Oreochromis niloticus: one gene and its partner. The protein of the gene in region 2 purifies or fractionates together with the protein of the main gene of each other region. This does not show direct contact. Links are inferred from orthologs where the notes say so. Each region holds a gene or a part of one and is shown on either strand. Other genes may lie near its edges.

Evidence for each region.
Region 1: the proteins of prkag3b (region 2) and pip4p2 purify together in Homo sapiens (affinity purification with mass spectrometry; 3 studies listed by BioGRID and IntAct, with this or other methods). This does not show direct contact. The link is inferred for Oreochromis niloticus from reciprocal best matches to the Homo sapiens genes PRKAG3 and PIP4P2.

The regions. Positions count from the first base shown.
Region 1 is NC_031985.2:21,130,806-21,140,635, forward strand, and holds the start of pip4p2 (type 2 phosphatidylinositol 4,5-bisphosphate 4-phosphatase), read right to left. Parts: upstream 3,982-9,830; 5' UTR 3,800-3,981; coding exon 3,694-3,799; intron 1-3,693. Other genes in the region: uncharacterized protein si:ch211-57n23.1, read left to right, coding at 7,482-8,029. UniProt on the Homo sapiens protein: Catalyzes the hydrolysis of phosphatidylinositol-4,5-bisphosphate (PtdIns-4,5-P2) to phosphatidylinositol-4-phosphate (PtdIns-4-P).
Region 2 is NC_031987.2:36,015,431-36,024,671, forward strand, and holds the start of prkag3b (5'-AMP-activated protein kinase subunit gamma-3b), read right to left. Parts: upstream 3,795-9,241; 5' UTR 3,566-3,794; coding exon 3,479-3,565; intron 1,804-3,478; coding exon 1,699-1,803; intron 1,601-1,698; coding exon 1,519-1,600; intron 1-1,518. UniProt on the Homo sapiens protein: AMP/ATP-binding subunit of AMP-activated protein kinase (AMPK), an energy sensor protein kinase that plays a key role in regulating cellular energy metabolism.

The DNA of each region.
Region 1 (9,830 bases), on a different chromosome or scaffold from region 2:
ACTGAAGACAGCAGCTATAGGTTTTCACGAGGAGCCAGAAGAAAGACGAGAAGACTCTGCTGCAACCACCACCAACGCCACAACATACAGTTCTGCTTTAAGGGTATCGACTCGATGACTTCACTTGTGGTTTGCGGGATAGAATGCCAAGCTGAACATCTGGTATTCAGACACCAGCAGCTCTGGAGACCTTTCTGTGTGGCCAGAAAAAAATAATCTCTTTAATCATAAAATAATTCTACAGTTTTACCGACACTACAATCCGTCTGGCCATCCCTCACTACAGCCAACATTTTAGACTTAATCTAAAGTCTTTAAAATCTGGCAACAAATTTGAGGGTTAATTTGAAAGAAAATCTAGTTATCTCCTAAAGCAGCTAAGTTAGTAGACATTTAGTGCATGTGTGTAAGACACAGTATAAAAATTGCAAACAATGTGCCTTAATTACATCCGTGTTTTACACTATTACAATAAATTATTAATCTAAACATTTTGGTTACGTTGTGTCTAATCGTTGGGTTTTCTTCTAATAAAGTGCTGCTCTGATTCAGATGATAAGTCCGCTTTTATCATGTTAAGATCAATGTTATTGTACCGTGTCTCCTGTTGTGTTCATTTACTAAAGGACAGCATGTCTCGACAGCTGATCTCTTTATTCCTGGAGGAGTCTTTCCAGGCTGGGCAGTTCTTTGCCTCAGTCATCTTGGCCAATTATAACTTGGGCAGCTTGCACCTATGAACAGTTCAGCCAGATATCAATAAAGCTCCTCCACTCGTCTGATTAGTGTTGATCAGTCAGACAGGGCATTGAGTTCGGCCGGCTCTGTTTGCAAATCCGTGACTGATAACTGATGACTGCAAATATCATTTCTGTTTATTTTAACTAGACTGAATTACTTTTTCTCTTCCACTGACCTGTGATAAAGACTCGTCATTGGTCACATTAAGTCACATGTTCTTGTAACCCACCCACTTCCACACAGTAGCTGCTCTCTCTTTGGAGGCAGTTCTTTAATGGTGGAATCAGCAAGTTAATATTTTTAACTTTGTGTTTTCATGATAAACATGACACTGAGAGTTTCTACTACTAACAAAACAAAACAAGATAACAGTGTTTTTTTAATGAGAAAGTGAAGTAACAGATTTTTCATACTAATGTAACTGAATTTATATACACTTGCCAGACACTTTATTAGGTACACCTTTCCAGGATTTTATGGGACCCCTTTTTTTTGCCTTTAGAGCTTCCTTAGTTCTTCGTGGCTTCAACAAGGCGCTTTCTCCATGGTGTAATGTCCATATTGACATGATGGCATCACACAGTTGCTGCAAATCTGTCGCCTGCACAGTGAACTCACTGTCATGTTCAAGAAACCTGTTTATGGCATTGTGTGTTATCCTGCTGGAAGCAAACATCTGAGGCTGGGTACACTGCGGTCATAAAGCGATGGATGTGGTCAGTAACCTTACCATCTAACATCAAGTCTCATCACACAAGTCAATGTTTTTCCAGTCTTCTATTGTCCATGTTTGGTGAGCTTGTGTGAACTGTAGTCTCAGTTTCCTGTTATTAGCTGACAGGAGTCTCACCTGCGATGATCTTCTGCTGCTGTCGCTCATCTGCTTCAAGGTTCAAAATGTTCTGCATTCAGAGATCCTCTTCTCCATATCTTGGTTGATTGCTTTTTTCAGTTGCTATTGACATTCTATCAGATCAGGATTTGTTCTCACTTTCTGACAAATCTCTGTAAATTGTAGAGACGGTTGTGTGGGGAAAATCTCAGTAGATGAGCAGTTTCTGAAATACTCAAACCAGCTCGTCTGACTCCAACAACAATGCCACATTCAGAGTCACTTAAACCACCCTTCTTCTCCAGTTTGATTCTCAGTTAGTCGTCTTCATGTCTACATGCATCAATGCACCGAGTTAGTGCCATGCAACTGGCTGATTAGATATTTGCATTAATGACCGGTTGAACAGGTGTACCTAATAAAGTGACCATGAGTTGCTAACAAGAAGAATCAGACCTTTCTATTTCGGTACTGTAATAGCAGGGTAACTGGATCTCTTCATATAAAGAAACCTGTTAACATATTTGCTGATGTTTCATGACTTCACCTTGGACTAATTAGTCCTGATAATGTGAAGCTGGTAAAGCTTCATTTTAAACGAGGCAGACCGTTTGTTTTTCTTTGATTATTTTAGGGCAAAATTAAAAAAAACAAGCAGCAGCCACTGAATTTCTACCTGCTACTACAGAATCATTTCAGTGAACACAACAAGTATTACATGGATATCATAAAAATTTAAATTCAAGCCACAGCTCACTTTAGTGCCTTAATGCAGCTGCTCATTAGTCAAAGCAGCGTCACAGTCATTGTGTTTCCGGGAAATGTCACAGTTTTGGCATCTTAGGATCAAATTAATCCATTTTACAAACCCACACTGGAATTAGCCAATAATCCAGTCTGCAGAGAGGGTGGAGGGAGAAACTGTGTCACTGTGTTAGCATCCAGCCAGGCTCTCGCTTCCTAGATTATTACAGTCCAGCATTAAGAGTTTAATCCCGTGGTGAAATATGAATTCTGTGGGATTAGACGTCTCGAGAACAACAAGCACTTCTCTCTCTCTTTCTCTCCTCTGTTTGTTTGAAATTGGCCTGAAATGCTCCTTAAACTGATTTACACGGTCAATGAGTCCATTCATTTGCTGCCGACCATCCCGAGCTGCTGCAAAGCAAAGAAACGTTGTTTCTGTCAGGCCGCTGACAAAAACTTAGAAGCGGAAACAGGGGAAAAAAAGTCAAATACCACTGAAAGTAGCACTCAAAATCTAATCCTCAGACAAGAGAATGTGATCTGAGGTGAAAGTAAAGCCTGAATCAATATTTAATGCCAGCAAAACACAAGGAGGGCTCTATGTGAGATCATGCATTTTTGCAGCTCCCACAAGCACTTTGCTTCGTCTTTCTTCTTGTGGAGAAGAATAAATTGAGAATTTGAGGAGATTATATTCAGAGCAAAGGTCAGTGCAGACAGCTGCTGCCAGTCCTGAGAACAAGCACTGTGGGCTGTAACTTACATGTTTATGTTTTCTGCTGTATGAAAGATGCAAATCATGCAAGAAGGCTCAAGCTCGTCGCTTACAGTGCATTCACCATGCAAACGAGCAAAACTCACAGCTGCCATCATTAAAACAGGAGAATACGACATTTAACTCGTGTTGCATTATTTCTCCCGTAAAGGGCACACCTGTGGGTGCTTTTGTTGATCTGCAGCTGGACAAAAGGATGCTTCGCCTGCCTCCATCTGCAATGCCTCAGTGCTCCCACGTCAACATTCAACCTAAAATCTACTGAGGCTTTGCAGAGCTTCAGCTCACACCTTTTTTTTTTTCTTTTTTTTTTGCTAGCCAAAGTCACGGCAGGCCCCAGTGAATCGTGATGTAGAAATCTCTGCACTGAAAACACTGTTTGATGCTACTGCTGGTATTACCGCAGGCCCCTTCTACATAACCCACTGCTCCAGTTCTCACAGTGCAAGCTCCACCTTTCAGTCAGCTGCCGACTGATTTCCCAGCAATGCCCTTGCCTCGCCTTGCTGCAGCTTTATTTACGCACTCACACAAACTCGATACGCCCTGAAAATGATTCAGCATGCAGGCGGCGGGGTGCTGCGTGTGGCGTGTTTACCTCGGGGACTTGAATCCTGCAGGTACGGGGGAGCTGTCGGGGTCACATTCTCGGAGTTGGGGCCCGACAGCAGCGGAGATCGCTCGTCCATGCCGTCGGAGGCCATGTCGTTGACCGTGATAAATGACGGGGTGGCTCCTGGCTGCACCGAGTTTTCCCTCAGCACGGAGGAGCAGCCAGAGGCTGGTTGTTGGTGCCGACTCGCTCCGGTCCAGCAGCAGCAGCAGCCCCGCTGACGGCAGCCTGGAGGGGGAGGAGCTCCGCGGTGGTCCCCGCCCCTCTAAGATATGGCCCCGGGCATGGGCAGAGTTCATGCTGGTGCACACTGAAGGAATTTTTTAATTTTTTCCTGATAAACTGCATTGATTTAAAATGCGTTGTTCCCTTTAATACCCCAAATACAGATTTATTCATATTTAAGCCTAAGAATAACAACAACATTAATGAAATCCATACGTGACGATAAAGTTTGAGAGTTTAAACGGTGGGATAAGAAAAAGCAGCAACTCACAGCTGTTGCCGCTAGATGTCACCGTGGGATTACTGAGGTCCGGGGCAGTGCAGTCAGAGCACGCTCGCACCATATTTTACTATTGTCAGGTTCACACTACGGAAGCGTAGAGCTACGGAAGCGTAGAGCTGCCACCCAGGCAAAAGAAAAATAGAAGTATATCACGTTATAACGTGAAAAGTTTATTGTTCTAACAAGATACTTTTCATGTTTGTACAATATACTTTTGACGTTTGAACAATATAATATCACGTTATTACAATATACATAAATATCACGTTCGTACAATATATTTATATTGTACGAACGTGATAATTATGCATATTGTAATAACGTGATATTATATTGTTCAAACGTCAAAAGTTTGAACAATAATTATATGCATAATTATCACGTTCGTACAATATAAATATATTGTACGAACGTGATATTTATGAATATTGTAATAACGTGATATTATGTTGTTCAAACGTCAAAAGTATATTGTACAAACATAGTATATTGTACAAACATGATAGTATATTGTACAAACATGAAAAGTATCTTGTTAGAACAATAAACTTTTCACGTTATAACGTGATATACTTCTATTTTTCTTTTGCCTGGGTGGCAGCTCTACGCTTCCGTAGCTCTACGCTTCCGTACTACGCTTCCGTATCACACAGCAAAGTCCCGCTGTGTTGTGTTTTTTATGTAGACCAGGGGTGGCAAACTCATTTTACAATATGGAGGACCACGAGTACCAAAATTAAGTAACTGTTAAGCATACCTGCCGTTTTCTGCCTGTGTAAAGATGTTTAACTGCACTTTTAATCCCATTTAATACAAGAATAAGAAGTGCAGTTATAATGGTAAGTCTCAGTACAGCATTGTACATGATAAAGGAATGCTGCTGCAGTCAATGAAAGAAATCATTACAGAAAACTAAAAAAACCTGCGGGAAAAGGTTCTGATAGCTCACTGCTCAGACTGTCCTGCAATTACAACCACAAGAGAGTCATAAAATAATAAATCATCATTTAAAAAAATGTTGGTCCTTTAGAAATGTCTTTATATTTGTCTATCTATTACTTTAGTGTAGTATGAATTGCAAAAGAAAAACTTCTGGGCATTTAATAGCCTCAGATATAACAACCCCCCAAAATAAATAAATAAACATACAAGTGATCAGGGCTTTTGCCAGAATTTTCAAAGTATTGTGACTCAGATTTCTCTTTATTTCAGAGTCAGTTTTGGACTTTGCTTTTCACTGTATTTACAACATTTGGACACAATTATACAAACATGTGAACCACACAGATGGCCTTTATAGAGCCGACTGTTCATACTATAAACAGCACTCCTTTTTCAGTTTGACTGAAAAAGATGCACTTTCTCAGTTTAAACATCTGACGACATGTTTTCCAGCATCCCAAATTTTTCAGAATTGGGATTGTAAAATTTAAGCTTTGATCTCTCTCACTGAAAAGAAAAATTAAAAGTAAATCACAATATTTTCCAGCACACATGCTCATAAAGTGAAATCTTTCCATCAAGGGAATAATAGTGTTGGTTTTTCTCTCAAATGTGCCGTTTGTTTCCAGACAATCCAAACCACGATAAAAGCTTGTAAAAATGTATATTTCTGTGTGTAGATACTTTTTTAATAAGGTCAAAGTCACATTAGATCACTTTTTGGTGACAACAATAGTATAAAGATACAAAATTACTATAAAAGTAGTCAACTCTTACAAACAGATCAAATAAATGAAGTGTTACTGAACCATGTAAACAAAGTGGAATTAATATTTTAACTTTATTCGGCTTCTTATTATTGTCATGTTATTTTTACATTTTACTAAAATACCCAGTGAATACCTTTAAAAACTTTACTTTGCGAGGCAGCAGGCAAACTTAAGCTAAACCAGTGATTTATGGCATAAACAGGACCTCATGGTGGTGTAATGCTTTTAAGTCCCACCCTTTTTATGTTTTACAATTCATCCTCAAATTTAGTGTTTGTTTTCAGAAAACTGCTCGTCATTCCCCTTAAATTGCAAAACCCTGGCTTGTTTGTGCCAAAATGTGTCCCATTCCTTGCAGCTTATGTCAGGGTGAAAGCCTCAGGCTGTGTAGATCCACTCTCTGGTCATTCAAAAAACTCGCTAAATAACTACAGATGCTCTGCATGAGTTTTGAGCTCATGGACAGTCTGGGTACTTTTTGAAACTCTTTTCTCTCCAGTAACTTCAGGGTAGCATCGTGTTCAAGTGTAACTCAGGGATGGTTTCAGAACAGCTAGTTTAAGAAGCAGATTTGGTGTTTTAATTCGAGCGTGTTGCTGTAGCTGTTTAGGATGTTGTAAATGGCTCATAAATACAGCATCGCACATCCTTCTCCCCCTGTCACTCAAATCAAAAAGTCTTCACAAAAGAAGTAAAGCACAAATGAGCATAGAAAATGAAGCTCACACAGAAGTAAATACACATCAAAGCAGGGATACGATGCAGAGAATGGCGCTCTCTCCCTCCAGCAGGGAGTTTTTACTGTAACCCACACCTCACATGCATTTTACAATCTCCCATCCCATCCCCTTCCACTGAGGAAAAATCCAAGCTCCTGATTCTGCTGTTACCGGGCCAGTAAAAGTGATTCAGATTGCATGTAACAGTCTGCAGTGAACGACTCATTTTTTCCGACGGCTGCAGGCACCAGAGGAGCGCCGCTACGCACAAACAGAGACCGCTCTGTGCTCTGTGCTCTCTCTGTAAGGTAAGACCGCTGAACAAAAGTCAACTTAAAATGAAAATTCAGATTACATCCGTAAAAAAAAAAACAAAAAAAAAACATCGCGGTGATCTGGAGTTCAGGATTTCCTTCAGTGATGCGTTTGCAGTTTTGATTTGTTGCCAACTATGACGCTACCCAAACTGAGGCAAATTTCCGGTTAAACTGCAGGAGAAAAAAACACAAATGTATGTTCTCTGGTTTTGTACAGGATTTATTTTTTGGTGTAATTTAATAAGAAATTTATTTAAGCTTATTTGCTATTGAACTTAATAAACTTCATGCTTTTATTTTGAATGTTATGTCACTGAATGCATGCAATCAAGAGGTCTCAGTGTTATTTTTCATGTTTCTATTGATCAGTAGAAATTTCTTGCCCTTCACACAGTAGTTTTCTCTTGTACATGAAGTTTAAGTATGAGAATACTTGATAATAATCATAGTGAATGGATTTTCTCTGGTGATTCCTGCGTGTCTAAGTCTTTTTCTTTTTAATGCAGTCAGTTTGGAGATGCTCCAGGGGACAGTGAGCAGGGCTTGGCTCTGCCTGTCCTTCTGCCTCCTGTTGGGGATCTGTTCTCCAGCAGAGGATGGAGGACCAGCAAGTCCTCCTCCTAGTTTCCCCCCTGAGCAAGGGTCAGGGGAGTCGGATTTCGAGGACTGGGAGTGGGGCTCTGGATCGTCTCTTCTGCACCTGCTCCACAGCTTCCCCGCTGACAGCCCCTTCACAACAGAGTCCTCAGAAAAGCCAGTCAACTGCACACAGCGCTTCTGGCTCCCTCCATCATCTCCAATCTGCTGGGAAAACATAGCAGGACCCAAAGAGTTTGCCAGGTCTCGTCTGCTTGTTCTGCAGAACAGGGCGGCCCTGCAGGCGGTGTCCACCTCCAGCGGGGTGGAGGAGGGAGGGCTGTCCTACGACCACCAAGCTAGAGAGGAGGTCCAGGGGATCCGATCAGACCACCAGAAAGTGACCGAAACTATGCAAAGCATGGAGACCGTGTTTGTCTCTCTGGCAGAGAAGAGGAAAGAGGGCAAGGAGCGGGGTGTCTTTACGAGGTAAGAAACAATAACAGTGGAGAATTCATTTATCAGCTTTGTGGGAGGAATAACCCAAGATCAGCTGGTGGGTGTAGAGGTGAATACTATTAAATAGGCTATATATATTATTAAAGTTTTAAATGAATAAAAGAACTCTGTAATTTTAGAGTGGGATCATGTCACACCCCATGAATTAAAATTTACATCCACCGAGGTCTTCAAGGTCAATTTAATGATTTATTGGTCAAAAACTGACAAAAAGCCTTATAACTTAGAAGCTATGATTCTAAGTGTGCAGTGTATTGTCAATATATAGAAAGTACTGTATAATGATTTAAAACATGTCATACTTGGCCTCTGACCTTGCCCTCAAGGTCTATGGATTGATCTGAAAGTCAAAGTGATATTAATGCTACTATAGTGGACAGCTATTCAAAGGCTGTTTTCTTGTATTTGTGTCAGTGTTGATGGTATATTTGCGCATAAACCACTACACTGGACGCTGATGTGTCACTACATACCCTGCCACCCACTGGTCATTTAATGTTACTATAGAGGTATGACATGTTTCATTGTAATTATTGTTATTTAACCGTGTCATGCATGAATTATGACAATCTCAATCAGGATTTTTTTCTTAAGTATTTTTATTCATCTTTAGGCATGAAAAGATGAATAAAAATACTTAAGAAAAAAATCCGCATCATGGGAATCCCCGGCAGCCTACGTCTATTGCAGCATTACTAAGGGAGGATTCAGGGTCACCTGATCCAGCCCTAACTATATGCTTTAACAAAAAGGAAAGTTTTAAGCCTAATCTTGAAAGTAGAGATAGTGTCTGTCTCCTGAATCCAAACTGGAAGCTGGTTCCACAGAAGAGGGGCCTGAAAACTGAAGGCTCTGCCTCCCATTCTACTTTTAAATACTCTAGGAACAACAAGTAGGCCTGCAGAGCGAGAGCGAAGTGCTCTAATAGGGTGATATGGTACTACAAGGTCATTAAGATAAGATGGGGCCTGATTATTTAAGACCTTGTATGTGAGGAGCAGGATTTTGAATTCAATTCTGGATTTAACAGGAAGCCAATGAAGGGAAGCCAAAACAGGAGAAATATGCTCTCTCTTTCTAGTCCCTGTCAGTACTCTTGCTGCAGCATTTTGGATCAGCTGAAGGCTTTTCAGCGAGTTTTTAGGACATCCTGATAATAATGAATTACAGTAGTCCAGCCTGGAAGTAATGAATGCATGAACTAGTTTTTCAGCATCACTCTGAGACAGAATATTTCTAATTTTAGAGATGTTGCGCAAATGGAAGAAAGCAGTCTTACATATTTGTTTAATATGTGCGTTGAAGGACATGTCCTGGTCAAAAATGACTCCAAGGTTTCTCACAGTGTTACTGGAGGCCAAGGTAATGCCATCCAGAGTAAGAATCTGCTTAGATACCATATTTCTAAGATTTTCAGGGCCGAGTACAATAACCTCAGTTTTATCTGAATTAAGAAGCAGAAAGTTAGCGGCCATCCAGGTCTTTATGTCTTTAAGACATTCCTGCAGTTTAACTAATTGGTGTGTGTTACCTGGCTTCATGGATAGATAGAGCTGCGTATCATCTGCATAGCAGTGAAAATTTATGCTATGTCTTCTAATGATGCTGCCTAAGGGAAGCATGTATAATGTAAATAGAATTGGTCCTAGCACCGAACCCTGTGGAACACCATAATTGACCTTAGTGTGTGAAGAGGACTCTCCATTTTCATGTACAAATTGGAGTCTATTAGATAGATATCATACAAACCACTCCAGCGCAGTACCTGTAA
Region 2 (9,241 bases):
GTCTCTCTGGTCTTACACACATATAATAGCAGGGAAAAGCTACATAACCTGTGTCTCTTATGGAATAGGATGTAGATGTAGTAGGGATATACAGGCACCACAGTGACCACATCAACAACGGGCTGAATGGGAAGACCAGTACAGAGGCTTTATAGAAGACGCAGGTGAGCAGGTTCTATTTTCTTGGAAAGCTCTGATCCTTAAATCCTAAAATGCTGGATAGCTTTAATCACCCATTTGTGGCCAACACAGTGTACCTTGTGATGGTCTTCTAGAGGAGCAGCATCTGAGCTGGTGACACCAACTGATAAAATGATCATGGAGGCTGGTTCTGTGGCTAGAAACTGGACACTTTTAAAGATATGTATTATATATCCATAGTTCCTAGATGCTTTGCATATAATCTGCACCTGGGTGAACTGGCATAGTAGCATTCAATTATGAAATTAGTTTTCTGTCATAATCATGAAAACATAATCCAAGCAAATTATTTCATTTCACAGGTGCATGTATTCAATGCCACTCAATACAATTTGTTAAATAAAGTTTGCCAAATTATTATCAACAGTCATTGTTTACTGTGTAGCTGTGGAAACCCTGACACCTGTCACTGGATTATGCTGAAGAAACCAGTCCAAAGACAGTTGACTCAAGCCAGCAGGATTTCACTGTGAGCACAAACAGCTACCTGCAGGAGTGTGACACTGTAGCAGCGTGTGCAATGGTTTCTTTGTGCGCTGCTAAGCTCTACCCCTGCAGAATCTTGAATGTATGCCTGAGCAATTTAAATGGGTGAGTAGCATCTGTGCCTGTGAAATGAAATTATTTATTGATGTTTTTTCCCATGCAACGTATAACAGAAAAATAATTCCATTGAATCAGTTCCCTGTTTTTAGTCCTTGTATGGCTTGTTGCAGTCGTCCACTTGTTATTAGCATTTCTTGGTTTCCCTGATGCAGACCTTGTTCAATCCGATGGCAAGGTTTTATGACTTTAGTTACTTGTATTTATTATTGTGCTATCTACTGTACAATATAAAGCGCCTTGAGGCGACTTTTGTTGTGATTTGGCGCTATATTAATAAAATTGAATTGAATTGAATTCTCTCTCCCTCATGTTCTGAGCAATCATTTATTTTACTGGTGCTCTGCATGGGCTTCAACCCCTTAAGCCAGCTCATCACTAATAATAGGTATTGATATAGAGTTAGGAGTGGAGTGACCATCAGCCACCTCCTGCACACGGAAACAGGTCCTAAGCACCATATTCATAAAGGGGGGAGCCTACCACAGCCAACAGCACTCAAGTTGCAGATTTTGCACAGGTACCCCAGACATCATCTAACACACAGTGGCAGAATGTAAGATGCAAGCTGGGAAAGCATTCGCAGAGCAGCTTGGATTATAAAGAATTAATAAACCACCGAAGGTTGTATGAGGGGAGCTCAAGTTTCAATCAAGATTCATATTACTCACGCACAAGACGCTCAGTGCTACAGACAGATGATGTATGACTCACCTACAAAACACTGAAGCTTGCTGTCCCACAGCGGCGCTGCCCTCACACCATTAGCCACCAGAGCAAAGAAAGCCTTCTTCACCTGCCAAACAAACACCCAGTCATTGAAACAATGAGCATGTGTTGCAACTGTGGCTTGTTTTACTGGCAAAATAAAAGGATGTGTTGTGAACATTAGACCTGCAGTGTTGTGTCAAAGATGACCAGTTTGGAGCTGGTTGGGATGGCATCGTAGCAGGAGTGACTCTTCATGAAGTTCATGTAAATGAATGTGTCAGTCTGGACCTGTGGAGAAGAGCAGGTGTTGCTTATGTAAAGCCACCGACAAATAAGAAATATAATATACACTACTGTTAAAAATGTTGGTTTAATGTTGGGTATTTATATGAGGGGTTTTTATTGTTTGTTTTTTAATAAGGGCATCATAATGTTTTCCACAAAAAAAAGATTATATGTTCTTCAAGCTTGGGTCTAACAGTGTTTTCAGAGTTTGAGGATGCTGACAGTATCTGCAGTCTTCTGGACAGAGATGTGATGTTTGGACCACCTTTTACATCTACTCTGGTTATTTCTTTGGCCCCTGGTAAGTTTTGATTTGCTCGTGCTCCTTCTTTCCTTGATTTTACTGGTAGCTGGGACTGCTGCATCTACAATCCCAATTCCAAAAACAGTGAGACATTTAGTAAGACATTAAAGATACTAAAATACAAAAAAAGGACCAGGGCAACAGGGCAATTTTACCACTGTGTAGCAATATTTGAAAATAGCAACTGTGCAGTTTCAATACTTGTAAAGTAACCAGAAACAGTGGATCAAGTATGCAGCAGAATAAATATTATTGAGAATTCAGCAAACACAATCCACATCTCCCCGTCTGATTTCTTTTCCGTTTTCAGGACATATATATGTGCTGCAACCTGGTACCTGTAACATTAGCTTTAACCATATTGTGTATATTTATAAATTCATTGATTAACCCTAAAGCCTCAAGTCATCACTATTTCAGTTAAGAGTCTGTCCCTGACTTTCTACTGCTGTTCAGATTACACCTGGAATTTAATTGTGTAAACAAGGTTGCGCATTATTTTATAAAGTAATTATCAGAATCAGAATACATTATTAATCCCTAAGGAAACTGTGTGGTTACAGTTGCTTCAAGACAGTAAGAACAGTAACAATCTGAACTAATTAAATAATACAGTACATTACAAAGTTAAAAAAAAATATAAGAAATAGCTCTAATATATACAAATGACTATACAAATATCCAGAATACTACAGAGGTTAAATATATATGTTTGGCATTTGACTCCAAACTTCAAACTGTAAACTCTGTTATTTGTTATTTTCACTGTAAAGGATGTGGGTATAACTATTGTACAGTGTACTGTCCATTAGATGGAGGAGTTGTGCAGAGAGACAGTCACAGGCAGGAATGATTTCCTGTGTCGTTCAGTGGTGCATTATGGGTAATCTCAGTATGTCAGTGAAGGCGCTCCTGTGACTGGCCAGCACATCATGGAGTGGGTGGGAGGTGTTGTCCAGCATTGTCCTTATCACCTTATCCTTAACATCTGCCTCTCAGACACCACCTTAAGGGAGTCCAGCTCCATCCCCACAACATTACTGGCTTTGTGATCAGTTTATTGAGTCTGTCGGCATCTGCGGCCCTCAACCTGCTGCCCCAGCATGCAGCAGCATAGAGGATGGCACTGGCCACAACAGACTCATAGAAAATCCTGAGTATTGTCTGACAGATGTTAAAAGACCTCAGGTGACAACTCTGACCCTTCCTGTAGACTGCAGTGGTATTTTTAACCCAGTCCAGTTCATTATCTATGTGTAATCTGAGGTAATGTAAAAGTAGTTCCAGTGTTTTTCCTTAGCAACTTTTCAAAGTCACGTACAACAAACAGCAGCACACAGAGGTGCAAGGTGGAGTGTTAGGACAGTGTCTTACCTCTGCCAGAGATTCCATAGCCTGCAAACAACAGCAATAAGATGTCTGCACCTGTAGAATCACACTGACCCGCAAAACCCTGGGCATCAAAATGACAGACAGCAGCACTCTGACGGACTGTCTACCTGGAGGACCTGTGAGACTTTGCTACCAAGTCAGATAAAGAGGTGTTGAAAGACTCCAGGCATGGTGAGAAGGACGGGAAACTGGACAAACTGAAAGAGGGAGACAAATTGCTCCGTGAAGCTTGAGACAGCTGGGACAGAATGTCTGGGAAAGACTGAAGTCTAAATCTGGACTGAAGTGTGAGAGTGGCATTTAGAGGGACAGAGGAAGAGTGGGTGGAGATGGGGGGGTATTGCCTTATTAACATTTGTAGCATGTATGAGATGTCTGTATATCCAGTAATCCACCCTTTCCTCCAAGTATGGTCACCTCTGTCTCCATGAGAGCAGCCAAAGTGCCAACATTTATACTGGCTCTTGAGTGCAGACTCGAGAACAGTGGATGATACAGCAATGACAACATCCAGCTACGGTAGCAACCAGCGGCACTTCAGCACATCCATTAGCTTCAATTTCAAGTTTTTCATTGAGTTTGTGTGTTTTTAAGATTAACTAGCAGATCATTAGACATGCTTCAACAGTAGACCTAACTGCTCTGCCCAAAGTGTAATTTCTTCTGTTAAAGGATTTTACATTACTTTTAGTTTTGTAATGTTTCTAATTTTTGTGAAACAGCTGCTAGTAATATTAGCTAATATTTGTCTTGATGTATGCTCAATCATCCAGGTAAGTAAATCCCAGAGGTTGATTCTTCTCCTCCAAGTCAAGATGAGCTGAACCACAACATTTTTTAGCTAATATTACTTTGATTTTAAATGTGGAAATGTTCATATTGTAGCTTACATTTTTAATAACCAACTTTGATGTAGGGCTTTTAATGAGGTGCATTTAATTTCTCCCAGGATAGCTGAACTTTATATTTCTGTGTTACAGAAAAAAAGAAGTGCTCAGTACAGCTTTAAGACTTTGCTGGTACTACTGTGGGAGACATTCAAGGTTTACTGGGCCAGTAACTATTTATAAATCTAGTAGACCATCTCCTACTTTGCACCGTAGTCAGTTTACATGCAGCCTCTAACATCACTAAACACATAATCAACATTTTTAAAGAAGCGATTTAAAATTTGCCAAAAACCCCTTTGAAACCTGAAACCATGTGTTCTCTCTTAATTTCCAACAAAACATAACAAAATAAACTCTGCAGTTTGTTGACTAAAAATGAAGAAACTGTTGGCTAACGCACACAGATTCAACACTTCTTCTCAGGAGGTGTTAAGTACAGCTCAAACATGTAGATCATTCTCTGAATCCAGTTTACATTCTAATTCAGATTCACAGCCAGCTTGTACAACGTCGTGCTAATAATAACTGCAGGTGTCCAAACAGGCTGTGCTGCTGGTTACAGGAGACCTCAGATATTAATAGTTTACAGCTATTTACAGAGTCCTTTTAAAATGTTGTCAGAGTATCACAGCTGGGTGTCTGTGTTACAGTTGCAAAGAAAAGTTGTCAACGCCCTGAAAATGCACAGAAGCTGCAGTGATTGGACGGAAGAACAAACACAATGTGATTAAACTAAAAAACAGCAAATTTGTAAAATCTATGTCTGCAAAAAGTGAATAAAGGTGAACATCAGAACACATCTGTGGAGAGATGCGAAACTTAACCACTTTTTGGTTAAATGAGATGAGATGAGCCTTTTTTTTTGTTGAAAAACTACAATGCTGTTGTTTAAGAAATGGCAGCCCAGAATCCCACCGTTGGTGATTCATGTTTGAATAGAGTCAATCTAGAGTGGGTCAAAACTCGCAACAACCCAGAAATACTCAAATAGTTTCATTGGGTGGTCGCATAATCCATTCTCATAAACCACTTAGAAAAATACAAAGGACTTTGATCATTTAAAAGAATTTTGTTTTGCATTGGAGTGCTATGACTTGTTAGAGCAGTGAAACGAATGAAATATAAGGCGTCAAAAAAATTATTCGAAAAAAATACAAATATATATAATATAAAAATCATCATTGCAGATCAGTGCCAGTAACAGTAACACAGATTATTATTCATATTTATGGAGTTTTCCTTGTTTTTTCATTATTAGTTCGTTTACGCAGCAAATAAAAAGACACTCCCACTCCCACTTGCCTACACTTGCAGTGCAGTAGTTCTTGCAGACTCTCCACAGCTGGAGCAAATGGTTACTGTTCCCCTGTAGAAGAGCGCGGTCCGAGGAACAGCAAAGATACTGAACAGGCCTCTGGTAGAGAGGCCTGAAGGATAAAGACCGCCCAACGGAGAGAGTGGAAATATAATATATACATGTATATGTTTGATCCTGGAATCCTGGATTTTTTTTATTAAGAATGTCTCAGTACATTTTTCTATTCATCTTTTCTTGAGTTACATGAAGCATGACAGTCCCATATGCTGAAAGACAGCCCACAAGCATTGACTGATTGATTGATTGAGCCGTTTATTTGTCACAAGCAATGTTACACGTACATGCAGTGAAATAGGACCCCTTCCAACCATACATACATGCACAAAGATGACGTTGGGTAAGACAGGTCGGAGCGAGGTAGGATGGTAAGAAAAACAATTAAATACACAATACATGAGGGGACAGGAGGGAAAAAAGAACTCCACCCAGACTGAGCTACTGAGAGGAGAGCAGAACAGAACAAAACCTTCAGCACAATGAAGCACATGACTCTTCACACCTTACAACATAAAAAACACATGGGGTTTGGGAGAGAGGCGATGTAGAGCCATCTGGTCCTGCAGCCGGACCCTGGCCCTGTACACAGACCTGCCTGACTGCATCGGGTGGAAGTTTGAAGGCGTTTGGGGAGGTTATTGTATATCTGTCGGAGTACATGTGTATGTGTGCGTGTGTGTCCTATATCCAACTTGAGAGAGAGTGCCCTTTCACCTAGCTTTAAGCAAAAGTCAACAGTCCCCCAGCCGACGCAGGTGACCTTGAGGAAGTAGGAGGGTAGGGCAGAGAGTCATACACCGTCTTGTAATCTGGGAGGATTTGTTGTTCCAGCTTTGGCCCTGGAGCTTCCAGCTGGCGAGGGGAGGCTGTGTGAAGATAGGGGTTGTTTGGGTTTGGTTTAGGCCGAAAAAAACTGCATTCTAATTCCGCAGTTGATCTAATGTCCATCACTGGTCCCACGTCTATCGATTTCCTGTTGCAGAGTTGCAAGCTTCTCCATGATTTTATCCATGTTGCGTTCAGTAAGCGCAGTCTGAGTACTCATTGCTCTACCCACTGCATCAGTCATGCCGGCCAGTCTTATGGGATTTTGAGCACTGTAACCACTTTCATTAGTCGTCGATAAGCCAGGGCCATGCCAGCTCCAATTAGCAAGAACCCCGTTATAATGGTTCCAAATAGGTAGATGTCTTCAACGTCCTCCATCGACAGTGTTGCCAGGCACAAGACCCACCACTTTCCCCAGCCGTCCATCGTGTATCCAGCAGCAAACGTCCCCGCAGGACATTCAGGCTCACCCGAGCCCGGGCTTCTCATTGAGAAGAGCATGTCAGTTGCGTTAAGAGACCAGCTGATCAAATCCATAATTTCTTGATTTTAGAGAACAAGACGGAGAGAATCGCTGAGAATTAGACAAGACGAGACAAGGACAAAAGAAGCCAAGCAGGAAATAAAAGGGAGGGAGGGAGGGAGGGAGGGAGGAAGATGCGACCGCCTCTGTTGAGAGCCAAGCCTTTATTGTTAGTATGGTATATTGAGATGATATGCAGTGCCCTTTGACCTCCAAACATGATGGCAGCTTCCACAGTGTTTGAGCAAAGCTAAAATCATATTTCTGGGTAAGTTTTGATGTCCTTATGACTGGACAGGGCTATGAAAGCCCCTCGCTCATTTTAGAGACACTCACCAGCTTTGTTTAACATAGATCATCAAAGTCCATCCATAAACATGCCTGTTACGCCCCTGACTGTATTTTTGTGATACGCTCATGTTTCCACTGTTCTAGCTACTTAACACGAGTCAGTACAGCGACATGCTGTCACCACCATGTAACTGTTCATAGTTGGACCCGTTCTAGGGTATTTGAGGAAGGACCTTTATTGTGAAATCAATACATTTACAATGGTAATCTTTTTTTCTCTCACACACTCAGCAGTCATCAAAAGCTAATTTACAATTAGCAGCAGCCTCAAGTGTTATCATCTGCAGAGATCTGGACATGAAACGTCTCCATTATTAAAATAAAGTTTTAACTTGACCTGTAAGAATCTGCAGCCTCTGAAAATCTTTCTGTATTAGTCTGCACTCAGAACAAACAACAAGCAGCAACTCACATATGTGTTCATTATTGTTTGTTCTCCAGAAAACTTTGATATCATCAATGTTCATATTGTTCATTGTGTTATTGTTCCGACAGTCCAAGGTGACGTCTAGAACAACATGCTTCATATAATGCATGTAAGAATGCGCCTGTGTCAGCGTGGCAACATCAGGCAGAAAAGAGTGATTTTATATTGTGGAAGTGCTAACATGTAAATTAGCAATGTATGCAATGTTGCCATTTGTTACAGTATAGTAAGACAACAAAATATCTTTTTCTACACGATATATATGAATGCTGTTGTGATCAAGCCCTGATGGGTATAACAACAAAAACGTACTGCAAGAGCAGCACTATTGTATCCAGCAGTGCAACATGTGTGAACACTTATGAAGAGCGTTGTCGTTGCAAATCCTTGGTCGGACCTGTGAGACAGTCTGTGGTCTGTGATCTGACCGACCATGTCAGGACAGATTAGCTCCACCAGCGTCTTCTGTTACGCCCCAGTCTAGGGGTACAGGAACGTAACATAAGAGTTAAAAAAGGAGCTTGTGGGATGGTTGCAGCAGCTTCTGCTCCCACATCCACCACCAAACCTCCAGTCGCATCAACCAGCCGAGGTTTCGACTTTGCAATTACCCCTTTATCCAACAGCTATGCTGTCAGACACTGCTTAATTTCTGCCTTTTTAGCATTCAAAGGTATACTAACATTAAACAAATTTGTCACCAACAACAAATCTGACTTTGTGCATCGATCCAACTTATCCATGGTGGGTCGTTGCACAAAATCATCCACGTCAAAAGTAATTGTGGCTAGTTTACCCCCAACACTACAAGAAAACTGCCAACCAAAAACTGTAGACAACCTACAAAACACAATGAGCAAAAAGAACGGCAAAAGAAAAGAGCGGATGAGCCCCCACTTTATGTTACGCCCCAGTCTAGGGGTACAGGAATGTAACATAAGAGTTAAAAAAGGAAGTGACCCCGCCCTGGGTCCCAAAACCATACACAGAAAAACCAATTTCTTAGTGAACGGTGGTTTATTTTTCTACACTGAAAATGAAGCTCCGGGGTGAACAAAGGCCAAAATAACAAACAAAACAGACTAAGTCAAGAGAGGAGGTGTTGTCTAAAACCCTATGTGAAACAAAAACCAAATGAAAGACAAACGCTACACCTAACTCCCTAACTGAGATAAACAGAAGAAAACAGTACAAGGAAAAATAATAAGGAAGCTCACCCGTTCTGTTTCAGTGCTATTTACAATGTGCTATTTACAAGTGAAAACTGATGTACACACTACATACAAAGCTCGGTAAGTCACGAGAATCTCAAACACAAATGTCACAGGTTTTGGAAGCCAGGGTCAGGTCT